Linked DNA regions of Rattus norvegicus. The protein of the gene in region 2 interacts with the protein of the main gene of each other region in a biochemical or structural test. Links are inferred from orthologs where the notes say so. Each region holds a gene or a part of one and is shown on either strand. Other genes may lie near its edges.

Region 1 (3,553 bases), on a different chromosome or scaffold from region 2:
GACCTAGACAAGCAGCAGCGCAAGCGCCTAAAGGAAGAAAGGCAGCGACAGAAGAAGGAGGCTCGAATTGCTGCCATGGCCTCTGCTGAAGGCCAGGATTCTGCTGAAGCCCAGGACTCAGCAGCGTCTGGTAAACCCAGCTCCTGAGAGCTCCTTTTCCAATAAAGCCAGCTGCTGACAGCCCACATTCTACACATTCTCCCACAGGTTGTGACTTCCTGGGTCCCCTGGCTCATTCCCCAACACCTGGAGTAGGAGAATCCCTCTGCTAGGCTGTGTTCACACCTGGACACTAGGCCATGTCATGCACTGAGGCTTGGGGAGAGAGGAGACTGGATGGGCAAATAATGACGGAGCAGATGGCAGTAGAGGAGGCTTCTGTTTACCAACATTAATCTCCAGTAATTAGCCAATTACCAGGGGGAGTACAGCCAAACAGACTACAGATAGAAGGAGCAGCAGCCATTCTAGGGCTGAGCTGGGGCAGGGGCCCAACTTTCCAGAGGGCAGAGATTCTGAGACCCCCCTCATAGGCTCCTTCCCCACTTCTCCGAATGCCCACTTCACCTGTGCCCCGGCCAGCTCAGACTCACAAACAGGTGTGAGAAGCTCCAGTAGGCATGAACCATTATTAGGGCTCATTTTTTAAAACTTTATTCACTTCAAAACCTTTATCAGAGGTGTTTCTGTCCTGGGGAAGGGGTGGCCTTGGCCTTCAGAACTGATGTTACCCCTTTTCCAGGCTGGAGGCCAAGGCGAGACTGGGGAGAAGGCCTTGGGCTTCTAACAGCCTTACTCCAGATGGGAAGATCGGGGCCACTCCAATGGAGATAAAGGTTTAGGGCTCCAGCTTCCCCTCATGGTAGAGGAAGGAGGGTTGTCCTTGGGGATGCTTCAGGGGCTGGGGAAACAGGCAGGCGCCTCTCCATCTGGCTACAGGGAGCTGGGACAGAGGCCAAGAGGGGCCCATCTGTCGCTTCCTGGTCTTGCCAACAACTTTGGGCAGGCTGGGCTCTGTTGAGAGGATAGGGACAGCTGTGTGGCCCAGGTCTTCTCAGACAGATGGGAATAGGGGCCACTTCAGGAGGGTAGGAAGCTGGGCTGGGTGGGTTGTTTTTTTTGTTTTTTTTAATGGTTTTTGATTTTTCTTCCTCTTAAATAAACATGAATATATATATATGTGAGATATATATATATATATATATATATATATATATATATATATATATATATATATATATATATATATATATACTTTTCTCTTATAAACTTTTGTGGAGTGGGGTGGGGGCCTTCTAGCCTCCCAGCATCACTCATCATCAAAGTTCTGACTCAGGAGGAAGTTGGCAGCCAAGTTCTCATTTTTCTCACACGCGAAGTAGGCCTGGATCACCAGGCTCTCCGGGAAGCCCAGTGCCTTCAGCTGTGGGGAGATGGCAAGGGTAAGAAGGGGGAGGTACTGGGCTGCCCACCATGAGTGGCTCGTTAGCCAGGCCTCTTACCCTTTCTATAGCTTCCTTCTCCTGCGGTGTCACCTGGATATAGTTCATCTGTGGGGCCTCCTCACCTAGGGCACCAACCTCCCCCTCTACATCAGAGATGTCCGCCAGCTCCCCGGGGGGCTCATTCAACATCTGGATGAACTGCTCCTGGTGACGGCTAATTTGCTGTGAGAAGAAGAAGGGTGACAATTCACAGTCCTTGTCACCTACGCCCAGGTTCCATTTTACACCCCTTGCTTATTATACCAAAGTGTCAGGTACTCTGACGCTGCATGCTCTGGCTGAATAGCCATGCAGCCATGGGAATAAGCTGTTCAGGTAGGGCTGAGGTGGCAAGGTGGGGAGACACACAGTGGCAGTGTCTTTAATACCGGCATTGGGGAGGCAGAGGCAGGTGGATCTGAGTTTAAGGCCAGCTTGATCTACAGAAGAGTTCAAGGCAGTCAGGGCTACATAGTGAGACAACATCTCAACAAACAAAACCAATGTGCCAGAACTAGGCATGGGGGTTCCTAACTATAATCCCAGCACTTGGGAGGCTGAAGCAGGAGAATCAACATGAGCTTTAAGCCAGCCTAACCTACACAGTAAGACTAAAGGGAAAAAAATAACAAAACAAAAAGTTCAAACCAAGGGGTTGGGGATTTAGCTCAGTGGTAGAGCGCTTGCCTAAGAAGCGCAAGGCCCTGGGTTCGGTCCCCAGCTCCGAAAGAAAGAACCAAAAAAAAAAAAAAGTTCAAACCAAGTGACTGCAAATGTGCTAGCTATGTCCCTGTGGCCTTGTAAGAGGGGCCTACTGTCCGTGGTAGAACAACCCATAAAATGCCCTGGGGTGGATCTACTGGGCAAGTCTCAGAGGAACTCTGTGGCAAGACAGCACAGAAAAGCTGAACTTTCTCCCCTAGCAGTGGGAAGCCACAGCGGCCAACAGCGGAGTTACTTGACCACTTTGTTTTGCCATGTTGCAAGGAAACCTGGCCTTAGCTGCTAAAAGCAGCAGTCAGCTAGTGAGGCACTCAATTTACACAACCTATTCTATTTTCTCTTTTTTGAGATGATCTCATTACTAGAAGGAGCTGGCTTCAAGTTCAATGATCCTCCTGCCTCAGCTTCCTAAGTGCAGGCCTAATGGTGTACACTACTACAACCAGCCACTCTGGTTAAATACACTCTACTTGGAAATCAGGAGGTTCTGATGTAGCCCTTTGCTTCTTCAAACATCTGACAATTTTCACATTAAAAAGGGCCTTTTCAGCAATCTAGCCTCTAGGTGGACAGTTCATTGAGGCACTGTGTAGACTTAAGAGGCCTGAGAAGAGGACGCTGGGACACCAGGTGGGAGAAATGGCTGACACTGGGATAGAAGCAGAGATAGTCCTCAGGAGGCTGTGAGAGGCTCGAGCAATCAGAGCAGAATGGCCTGAAAACTCAAGAGGTCCAGGGTCCCAAGGGATCTGGTGTGATATACAGGTTTAGGTCACCACAGAGGGTCAAGGTGAAGGTCATATCAGGAAGAAGGCCAGGACTGGAGAACAGAAGAAGAGCTTCAGGTTGACCAGGAACTCAGAAAAATGCTGTGGCCAGAGTCCAGGGCCCAGACATGGCAGCCTGCTCTGAGCCTCCGATGTCTTCAGTAGGTGGGTGCCTACAGCATCCACACCTCATGGGGAGTTACACGTAACCTTAGAAGGCATCAGGGAGCAAAAGGAGCAAAGCCTATGCTAGTTCTGCTTTCTCAGAGCAAAGCTATGTCCCTGGGCACTCGCTCCCCTGAGGAACTGGAAAGGCATCTGTCTCAGTTCCCTCACCCTGGGCCGCACCTGCAAGAGCTGAGGGTTCTCCTGGCCCAGCTGCTGGAGCAGAGCAGGCAGCAGCGCCGGGTTCTGCTGAATCACTTGCCGCATGTTCTGGAACTGAGGCTGGTCCCGCAGGAACTCTAGGGGGTTCTCCCCTGCTAGTGGCAGGAAGAAGTGTGGTCAGACCCCTGCGGGGGCTCCTGAATCCAGACTGGAGATGCCCACGAGTACACCATCCAACCAGCTCACCTGCTT
Region 2 (4,153 bases):
GGTAAGCAGATGTATGTATCTGCACATGCGTGTTTGTATATGTGTTCTCATGTCTATGTGTACACACAGATATACATACGTGTGCCAAAGGTCCAAGTCAAATGCCTTCCTCAGTTGCGCTCCACCTTATTTTGTGAGATAGTCTTTCACTGAGCCTAGAACTCACTGATTTCAGCTAGACTGGCTGGTCAGCAACCAGAAACCCACCTGGCTCGGTTCCCTGCCTCAAGTACTGGGGATACAAACACACACTGGGATCTGAACTCTGGTTTTCATGCTTACACAGCAAGCACTATTCAGGTGAGGCATATCCTTGGCCTGAGTAAGTCTTTGTTAGCCTAGCATTTTGGATATACTGATTCAGTAGTTACCTTCACTGAAATCTGCTCAAATGAGGAACAATCAATATTGTCAAGAAGGTATTGAGGGGGGTTGGGGATTTAGCTCAGTGGTAGAGTGCTTGCCTAGCAAGTGCATGGCCCTGGTTCGGTCCCCAGCTCCAAAAAAAAAAAGAAAAAAGAAAAAGAAAAAGAAAAAAAAAAAAAAAGAAGGTATTGAGGGAGATGGAGAGGTGGCTCAGCAGTTAAGAGTACAGGCTGGCTTTCCAGATGACCTCGGTTCAACTCCTAACACCCACACAGCTACTCACAAGCCTGTTACTCCAGTTCCAGGGAATCTTCTGGCTTTAGTGGGCAACAGACACACAGTGCACAGACATACACAACAGTAAACACCAATACAATTTTTTTGTTTGTTTTCCATGACAGTTTCTCTGTATAGAGCTGGCTGTTCTAAAACTCTCTCTGTAGACTAGGCTGGCCTTGAACTCACTAGAGATTCCCCTGCCTCTACCTTCCAAGTGTGAGGTTAAAGGCCTACCACCCCTGCCAGCAAAAAAATACATATTTTTTAGTGTATTGTTTAAGAGCCCTATGCTGAGCTTCAATCCCAGGATGGTAGGTGGCAGAGGTACCTATTTAACATATCAAAGCGGACCTGAACTCCAGGTTCTCCCAGCATCCCTTAGTCCCTACTTATACCAGGGTATAGCTGGTATACCTACTCTCTACCCTGAACTCTCCAGACCATGGCCTAGCTGCCCTTCCCCTAGTGGTCCTTGCCTATGTAATTCATGTATTTTGGTAACCCAACCTCTTTGGTATACTTCTGCACCTTTGGCTCCTGGCTGCTGTATTTCCTTTCCCTCTCCCCATGTGGTTCAGGGTCATGACAACTCTGGGGTCTCCCAAATGTGTCTGCCCCAGGCTATGCTCTCCCACATCTCTTTAATAAACTTTCTCCTTCACCATACCTAGAAGTCATGTCCTTTCCATTTCTTCCTTCATTCACCCTAAAGATGACCCAGAGAGTAAAGGAGCTTGCTGCCAAAGCCTCAGACACCTGGAATCCACACCAAGTTGGAAAGAGAGGACAGACTTTATCAAGTCATCCTTGACCTCCACACAAGCACATGCATTTTTCTTTTAAGAATACATGGCAGGAGTCTCACAAAACAGTGTATAAAGTATAACATGTTTAAAATGGATTTTATCCCAAAGAGTATAACATGTTTAAAATGGACTTTATCCCAAAGCCTTTGGAAAATTACAAAAGAGTGGGGGAGGGGGTGGCGCACTCAGAGTCAGGGCACATGGTCATAATCCCAGCCAGCACTCAGGAGGCAGAGACAGTAGGATGGAGAGTTTGGGGCCAGCTTGGGCTACAAGAAATCTTGTCACAAACTAACTTGTTCCAGTTCCAAAAACACTATGAAAGGTCTTCTTAAGAACACTTTCATTTAACAACTTCCTTAGATTTACAGCATTTTTGTCTTTCTTTTGTCGTGCATGGACTTTAAACGTTGTGAATGAATGCTCCTTTACAAATGATAAAAACAAAGGCCTTTGCTCCAACTGTAATAATAGTCTCAACTAGCAACCCTCTCCAAACCTAAAATGATTATGAAACACGGAATCATGCCAAAGTTGTCCGAGGAACACCCAAATGACTTGATAATTGTATGCGAGCATAGACCAGTTTCTCGAGATGTCACAATACTGTAAAGCGTAGTCACTTAGGAATTAAGGTGAGGAAGAGACTAGCCAAATCACACAGTAGAAAGATTCTAATCTATCCATAATACCTAAAAACAAAGCTGGCCTCCTGGTCCGGAAAAATGGGAGAGCAGCCCAAACATCCCGTAATAAAAACTCTTATGACGACTTCCCTCCGGGATTTCCTACTTTACTTCCCAAGTGTCAGGCCCTTCAATGGGAGAGCCACGGTCACAACTGCAGAAGGACGTGGGATAGATCACCAAGATCTAAATGCATGGGACATTCCATCATAGAACTGAGTTGAGAGAGAAAGTTGGTTCTGCCAGAGGATAGGTCAGGGGGAGTGGGTGGAGTTGGGAAGGGTCCGTCAGGTGTGGAAAGGCGTCTCGCTAGACTAGACCACAGGAGAGAAGATAGAAGAAACCCGAAAAGGCGTGGCAAGTGAACAAGAAACGCCCGCGCTAATCCTCCGGATGAAGCCCCCCGAAATGCCCAGGTTACCCGCCCGGTCTTTTAGGGTGAGGGTGCCGGAGACGCATGCGGGAGGCTTCATGAACGGTGCCATGGGGGGAAGGCAGGAAGCACCCCTCACCCAGCCAAGTCGGGATGGGGGCGCTCGGGCCCCGCCTGAGTTCCTGAAGCGGCGACGCTGCTCCCCACGCCCGCCGCCGAGCCGCGGACGGCTCCCCACCGAACGCCCACACTCACTTTCTCGTGGAAGATGGACTCCATGTTTATTTGTCTGGAGCCAACGGCCCCGGCGCGGAGCAGCCCCCTCCAGCAGCTCCGCCCCCGGCCCCACCCCTCCGCCCCGGCCCGCCCCGCCCTACCCACGTGCCTCCCGCCACCCAATCACTACTGCGGGCGCACGTCACGCGGCACGCGAGCCGGGGAGCACGGGACACGTGACCTGGGCGGCGCTGGTCCTCCCGCCGCGTGTGTGATGCTGCGGCGCCGCCTGCTGTGCGGAGGAACTTCTCTACGCTAGACAATGTTGTGATTCTAGGGTTCTAGATGAGAATCCTCGCAGCCAGGTTTTAGGTTCTTTTTTTTTTCTCCATTTCCACCTTTTTTGGTACTTTCTGCTCAACTACGTGTAATACCTCCTCTCCCACTGAAAACCTCATTCCAAAAAAGGCATTCTCCCAATACCTAGTATTTGTGTGAAAACTATAGCTAGTATTTAGTTAGGGCTGACTTATAATAGTCCACTTCTAAGTGCGATTTAATGCGGCATTTTTGATGTGTGTGTATGTTGTAATATTATTATACAAATGAAGAAATGTAGGCACTAAGAAATTAGAATAGCACAGTGTCCAACACAGTTGCCTGTCGGAATGAGTATCAGGTCCCAGGATAAATGTACAATATCTGAAGGAGGAAGCGTCGATGGGGAAGTGAAAAGTCCAGTAAAATGTTGAGTGGCTCGCGCCGGGGGTGGGGGAGGGATTGACAAAGATTAAGTGTTATTTGGGCGCGGATCTTGTGTGGTGGAACCATTTTAGGTTCTTCAAAGTCAGCAAAGAAACTGGGTACAAAGACTCATTCTCCTAATCCTTGCACCTGAAGGTAGGAGGAGTATGTTGTGTTGGACTGTGGCAGCCTGTAACCAGGGTTTCTAGGACGATCCTGCCCGCCACCTCCCAACCAAAAACAAAACAAAACAAACAAAAAACCTACAGGAGGTTACAGATTTTCAAAACTAGAGACATGGGGTCAAATTAGAATTTTAGAAGATCACTGGGGAACAGAATACTTGAAAGGCATTTTGGGAGAAATGAGGAGACAATGGTGGTCAGAACTCCAGTAGTGATTTGAGAATGGAGAGAGACCAATTTGAAGTTTCAGGAAGCAGACTCAGAAGACTTTGGTGAGGAACTGGGGTGAAAGGGGTTATTGTTAGGAAAGATTTGTGGGTGTCTGCTGTAGGTACCACCTAAAGAAGGAGTAATACTCCAACCAGAAATACTGTGCAGAATGAGCAGGGTCTTGGGAAGGGAAGACAAGGGTTTAATTTGGGGAATAATGAGTTTAAATGTCTGTGCAACATAAGGTACTTTTGTGAGTAATAGATGTCTGGCCTGGAGTTTACAGAA
Region 3 (3,645 bases), on a different chromosome or scaffold from region 2:
TGAAGAGTATAAAACAGGAAGTGCTGTGTTTGGGGGTTGTTTTTAAAGCTGATCCGAAGAACGCCTGCAGCCGCCGCTGTGACCAGCAGAGGGCAGCGCGCGCCAGGCAGCTGCCACCCTGGAGGCCCCACCCCGGACAGCCACCAACTAGCAGGGGCCCGTACCTCCTCGGCTCCAGTGACGGAGTACGCATGTCCTTTCACCAACTTCTGGTACGTAACGGCCTCAGAATCCGCAGCGCTGGTGATCTGTAAACGCAAGGACAATAGGCGGCGGCTGCTCTAGCCCGGATACAAATGGCCCAGAAGGACGCACAAAGCACCCGGGCCCAGCCTGGGGGACTCTGAGCATCCATCCTGCCACCTGGAGGAGCAGCTTTCAGTTGCTGATCACCAAGGCGCAAGTTGGCGCATATCCCAAAGCCCCAGGAATCATCTTCTGGATGGGGAGGGTGTGCAGGGATTCACCTTCGAGACAAGGGTCTGTGGGAGGCCTAGAGACAGACACCCCATGGGGGAACTGTAGCCAAGATGCTCTAATTCCGCACCCCTACCCCGCCCAGCTCAGTTGCACAACGATGGCAGTTTTTTATTTCTACCCTCGCTTCAGAATCCGTGTATTGGGTTGCCAACTCCTTAAAAACCCTCCCTTCCCATTCTTTGGGCCCAGCTTGGGGAAGCTCCTCGCCAGGACTTGGGTCAGGCTCACTTTCCATTTCCCTGGTGAGGTTTGCCTGCAAAGCTATTTTGAAGAAACAGTTCCTTGCGGTACTCCCTGCAGTCTTAGCCAGGACCCATGAGCACTGGGACAGAGTGAGGAGAGGCTGCGGGGCTGCTCAAACAGCCCTGCAGGTGGGGGACAAGGTGCTAAAACCAGCAGAAGGGAGATGGGGGACTTTGTGTAACTTGCGCTCTTTGAGTAGAGTGATTCAGCACAGTTAGAATCCAAAGTGGGCTGGGGAGGAAGGGCAGGAATCACTGTTCCTATCTCAAATGCGCCCCCTAGAGAGCTATTGCCTAGTGATCCTGGGCTTCGGGAGCTGAGCAGTGGAATGCACCTTTGTTTTAAAGAGCCCCTCATCCCCAACCCCACCCTCACCCCACCCCTCCTCGGAGCGACAGCAGACTGAAGTGCTTGGAGAGGACCATGGAGACTTACATCGATAGAGCAGCCAAGCAGAGAACCTTTCTCCAAAGCCTTCTGGATGATCTTGAACAAATTGGGAGGAGGCTTCCTCAGCTCATACCACTCGGCAATGCCTCCTGTGAAGTCTTCAAAGCCCTCAGTGGTGGCACCCCCTGAGAGTGCTTCATAGCACCCATTGATCCTGAAGGAGGGAATTCACACTGCCACTCAGTGCCCTGGATGCTGCGGGGTGCACCTTCATCCCTGAAAATGCCACCCCACTCCAACTCAGATCCCCCCCATGGGAGCTCATGGGGTCCCCTGCTTTCATTCTCTTTGTCTTTGTCTCCAACTTGGGGTACCCAGGAAGGCAAGGCACTATCTCTGTAGTTACTTTTCCTCTGCGGCTATGACATGTTTTAGAATTTGTACCGAACCCTGGAGCTGGAAAGACTTAGTTCTGATCCAGCCTCTGGTGTTGACTCTAGCCTTGACACAGAGGTTGACACTAAAGTAATGAATCCAGCTTCCTGAGAAGCACACAGCAGGTTCCTGTGGTCATGCCCTGAGCTCTATGCTCCAAATTCTCTTGGCTAAGGACAGGGAGTCCCTACGCCCCATTTCTAGCCTGGGGCTGTAGGGATCCTAAACCCACTCACTCCGATCTTAATGCAGCGAGAGCACCAGCACCTGAGACCTCCACTTCAGAGGGCTGACATCCTGGGTGGACCTGGCACAACTTCGGGCCATCTGAGTGAGGCCCAGCTAGGATTAGAACTGGGAAACCATTCTTACCAGCCGCATGATTTATTCTGGGTGAGTTTCCACTATTTTCCTACCTTTGCAATGGGCAGATTTGCCATTGGAAGAAGGTTTTGGTCTTTTTGGTTAAGAGGCAACGGGGCCCACCAAAGAAGCAGAGTTCTTAAGGCCAGAGCAATTAGCCTCAGCATGTTCCAGTTCCCTTGCTCAAAAACAATGACCGTCCTGTACCAGTGTATCATGTGAACAACTCCCATGCCCACATTGCCTCCTTGAACTGAGAGCCCAATTTGGGCCAAAGTCATCCTTTTATAGAACAGAATGTCTACTCAAAACAGTCCCCAAAATAGCTCCTGTTTTAGAGTCCAGGGCAGCAGGGGCAAGATGGGGTGTTGGGGAAGGGCGTGGTTACTTACTTGGCATAGGCCTTCTCCAGAAGGGCACTCCAGAACTCGCTCCCCTCAGCTGAATGAACAAAGAGCAGCTCCCCGTCCTTAGTGGGCAGTCTGTCGTCCACCACCACCTCCACCCATTCGCCATATTGCCAGAACTGCAGGGCATGGGGGACAAGAGAGGGTGGCGCTGGGACTCCGAGCCTTGGCTTCATCTGGCCCAGCCCCTTGTTGTAAGTTCCCATGATTCTCTTCAGTGTCTTATGTTAAGCGTGCCCCTCACCAAGCAAGAGGCCAGTGGAGCTCAATGTAGGTCTCCAAAGCCACACACACTTTAAAAATGCCATCTCTCATTTGCTATCAGGGAAAGGAAGCCTTTTAACCTTTTATCTCAAACCTCAAATAATAAACTTAAAAACTTAGGGATTACTTCCTGAACACATTACTTCCTGTACACCATGATCTACCTCCATGGACTCTCCCCACCCCCAACTCCCAGCCATTCTGATGATGGGACTCCACATGGTGGACAGGTTGGGAAAATTTCTCTCTTCCAGCATTCTTTGCAGAACAGAACTGACCCCCAGAGTTCTCAAACCACCAGGGACCAGGAAGCTGAGGAGCAAAGTCAAGCTGGAGGAATCTGTTGAGTCCCTGAGCCAGGACGGGGAGGTGCCTTGGCCAACCATTAAGTTACCTGGAAATGGAAGATGCCTGCATAGTTTTCCTGGAAGCTCTGGTCTAGAGGCACAACTCGAGCCAGGATTTCTTCATTCAAGGTGAGGGAGGCGATGGCAGCCAGAAGCCAGCAGTCCCCTGAGAATGCAAAGCCATGAGCTCTGGTCAGGTCTTAGCTCCCGGAGGCTGTGAAGTCTTGTTCCTGCAGCTGGGTGCTTAAAACCCAACCTTACCCTGGAGTAGACGGAGCAGTGTTTCAGACAGTCTTCAACTACGGGATAGGTCACCTGGTCTGGTGGATATTTTGATGGAGAAACGCCATGTGTGGATGGCTAGATACAAGAGAGGTTCATTGTCTGAGAAACTCAGAACTCTGCGATGGCTGAACTGTGTCGTTAGAGCCTGGCCCTGTGCTCACACACAGGAACTATGCCCATCTATGGGCGAACCGAACTTAACAGGGCAACAAGAGGCCTCAGTGAAAAGAGGTTTCCGAGGGGCTGGGGATTTAGCTCAGTGGTAGAGCGCTTACCTAGGAAGCGCAAGGCCCTGGGTTCGGTCCCCAGCTCCGGAAAAAAAAAGAACCAAAAAAAAAAAAAAAAAAAAAAAGAGGTTTCCGAGAGGAGTTTGAATGAGAGGGAGAAAATGCAGCAGTCGACGAGGAGGGGCTGAACACTGCCCATCTCCT

What was found.
Region 1: the proteins of Atxn3 (region 2) and Rad23a form a complex in vitro, tested with the Homo sapiens proteins (2 studies listed by BioGRID). The link is inferred for Rattus norvegicus from reciprocal best matches to the Homo sapiens genes ATXN3 and RAD23A.
Region 3: of the proteins of Atxn3 (region 2) and Capn2, one has a biochemical effect on the other in vitro, tested with the Homo sapiens proteins (2 studies listed by BioGRID). The link is inferred for Rattus norvegicus from reciprocal best matches to the Homo sapiens genes ATXN3 and CAPN2.

Annotation. Positions count from the first base shown.
Region 1 is NC_086037.1:40,222,622-40,226,174, reverse strand, and holds the end of Rad23a (UV excision repair protein RAD23 homolog A), read right to left. Parts: coding exon 3,548-3,553; intron 3,457-3,547; coding exon 3,323-3,456; intron 1,668-3,322; coding exon 1,503-1,667; intron 1,424-1,502; coding exon 1,310-1,423; 3' UTR 1,015-1,309; coding exon of another isoform or gene 934-1,014; 3' UTR 632-933; downstream 1-631. Other genes in the region: Gadd45gip1 (large ribosomal subunit protein mL64), read left to right, coding at 1-147. UniProt on the Homo sapiens protein: Multiubiquitin chain receptor involved in modulation of proteasomal degradation. Binds to 'Lys-48'-linked polyubiquitin chains in a length-dependent manner and with a lower affinity to 'Lys-63'-linked polyubiquitin chains.
Region 2 is NC_086024.1:126,869,888-126,874,040, forward strand, and holds the start of Atxn3 (ataxin-3), read right to left. Parts: upstream 2,895-4,153; 5' UTR 2,790-2,894; coding exon 2,766-2,789; exon of another isoform or gene 2,650-2,765; intron 2,616-2,649; exon of another isoform or gene 2,144-2,615; intron 2,117-2,143; exon of another isoform or gene 1,313-2,116; intron 1-1,312. UniProt on the Homo sapiens protein: Deubiquitinating enzyme involved in protein homeostasis maintenance, transcription, cytoskeleton regulation, myogenesis and degradation of misfolded chaperone substrates.
Region 3 is NC_086031.1:96,704,995-96,708,639, forward strand, and holds part of Capn2 (calpain-2 catalytic subunit), read right to left. Parts: intron 3,096-3,645; coding exon 2,977-3,095; exon of another isoform or gene 2,837-2,976; intron 2,438-2,836; coding exon 2,304-2,437; intron 1,942-2,303; exon of another isoform or gene 1,801-1,941; intron 1,328-1,800; coding exon 1,159-1,327; intron 249-1,158; coding exon 165-248; intron 1-164. UniProt on the Homo sapiens protein: Calcium-regulated non-lysosomal thiol-protease which catalyzes limited proteolysis of substrates involved in cytoskeletal remodeling and signal transduction. Proteolytically cleaves MYOC at 'Arg-226'.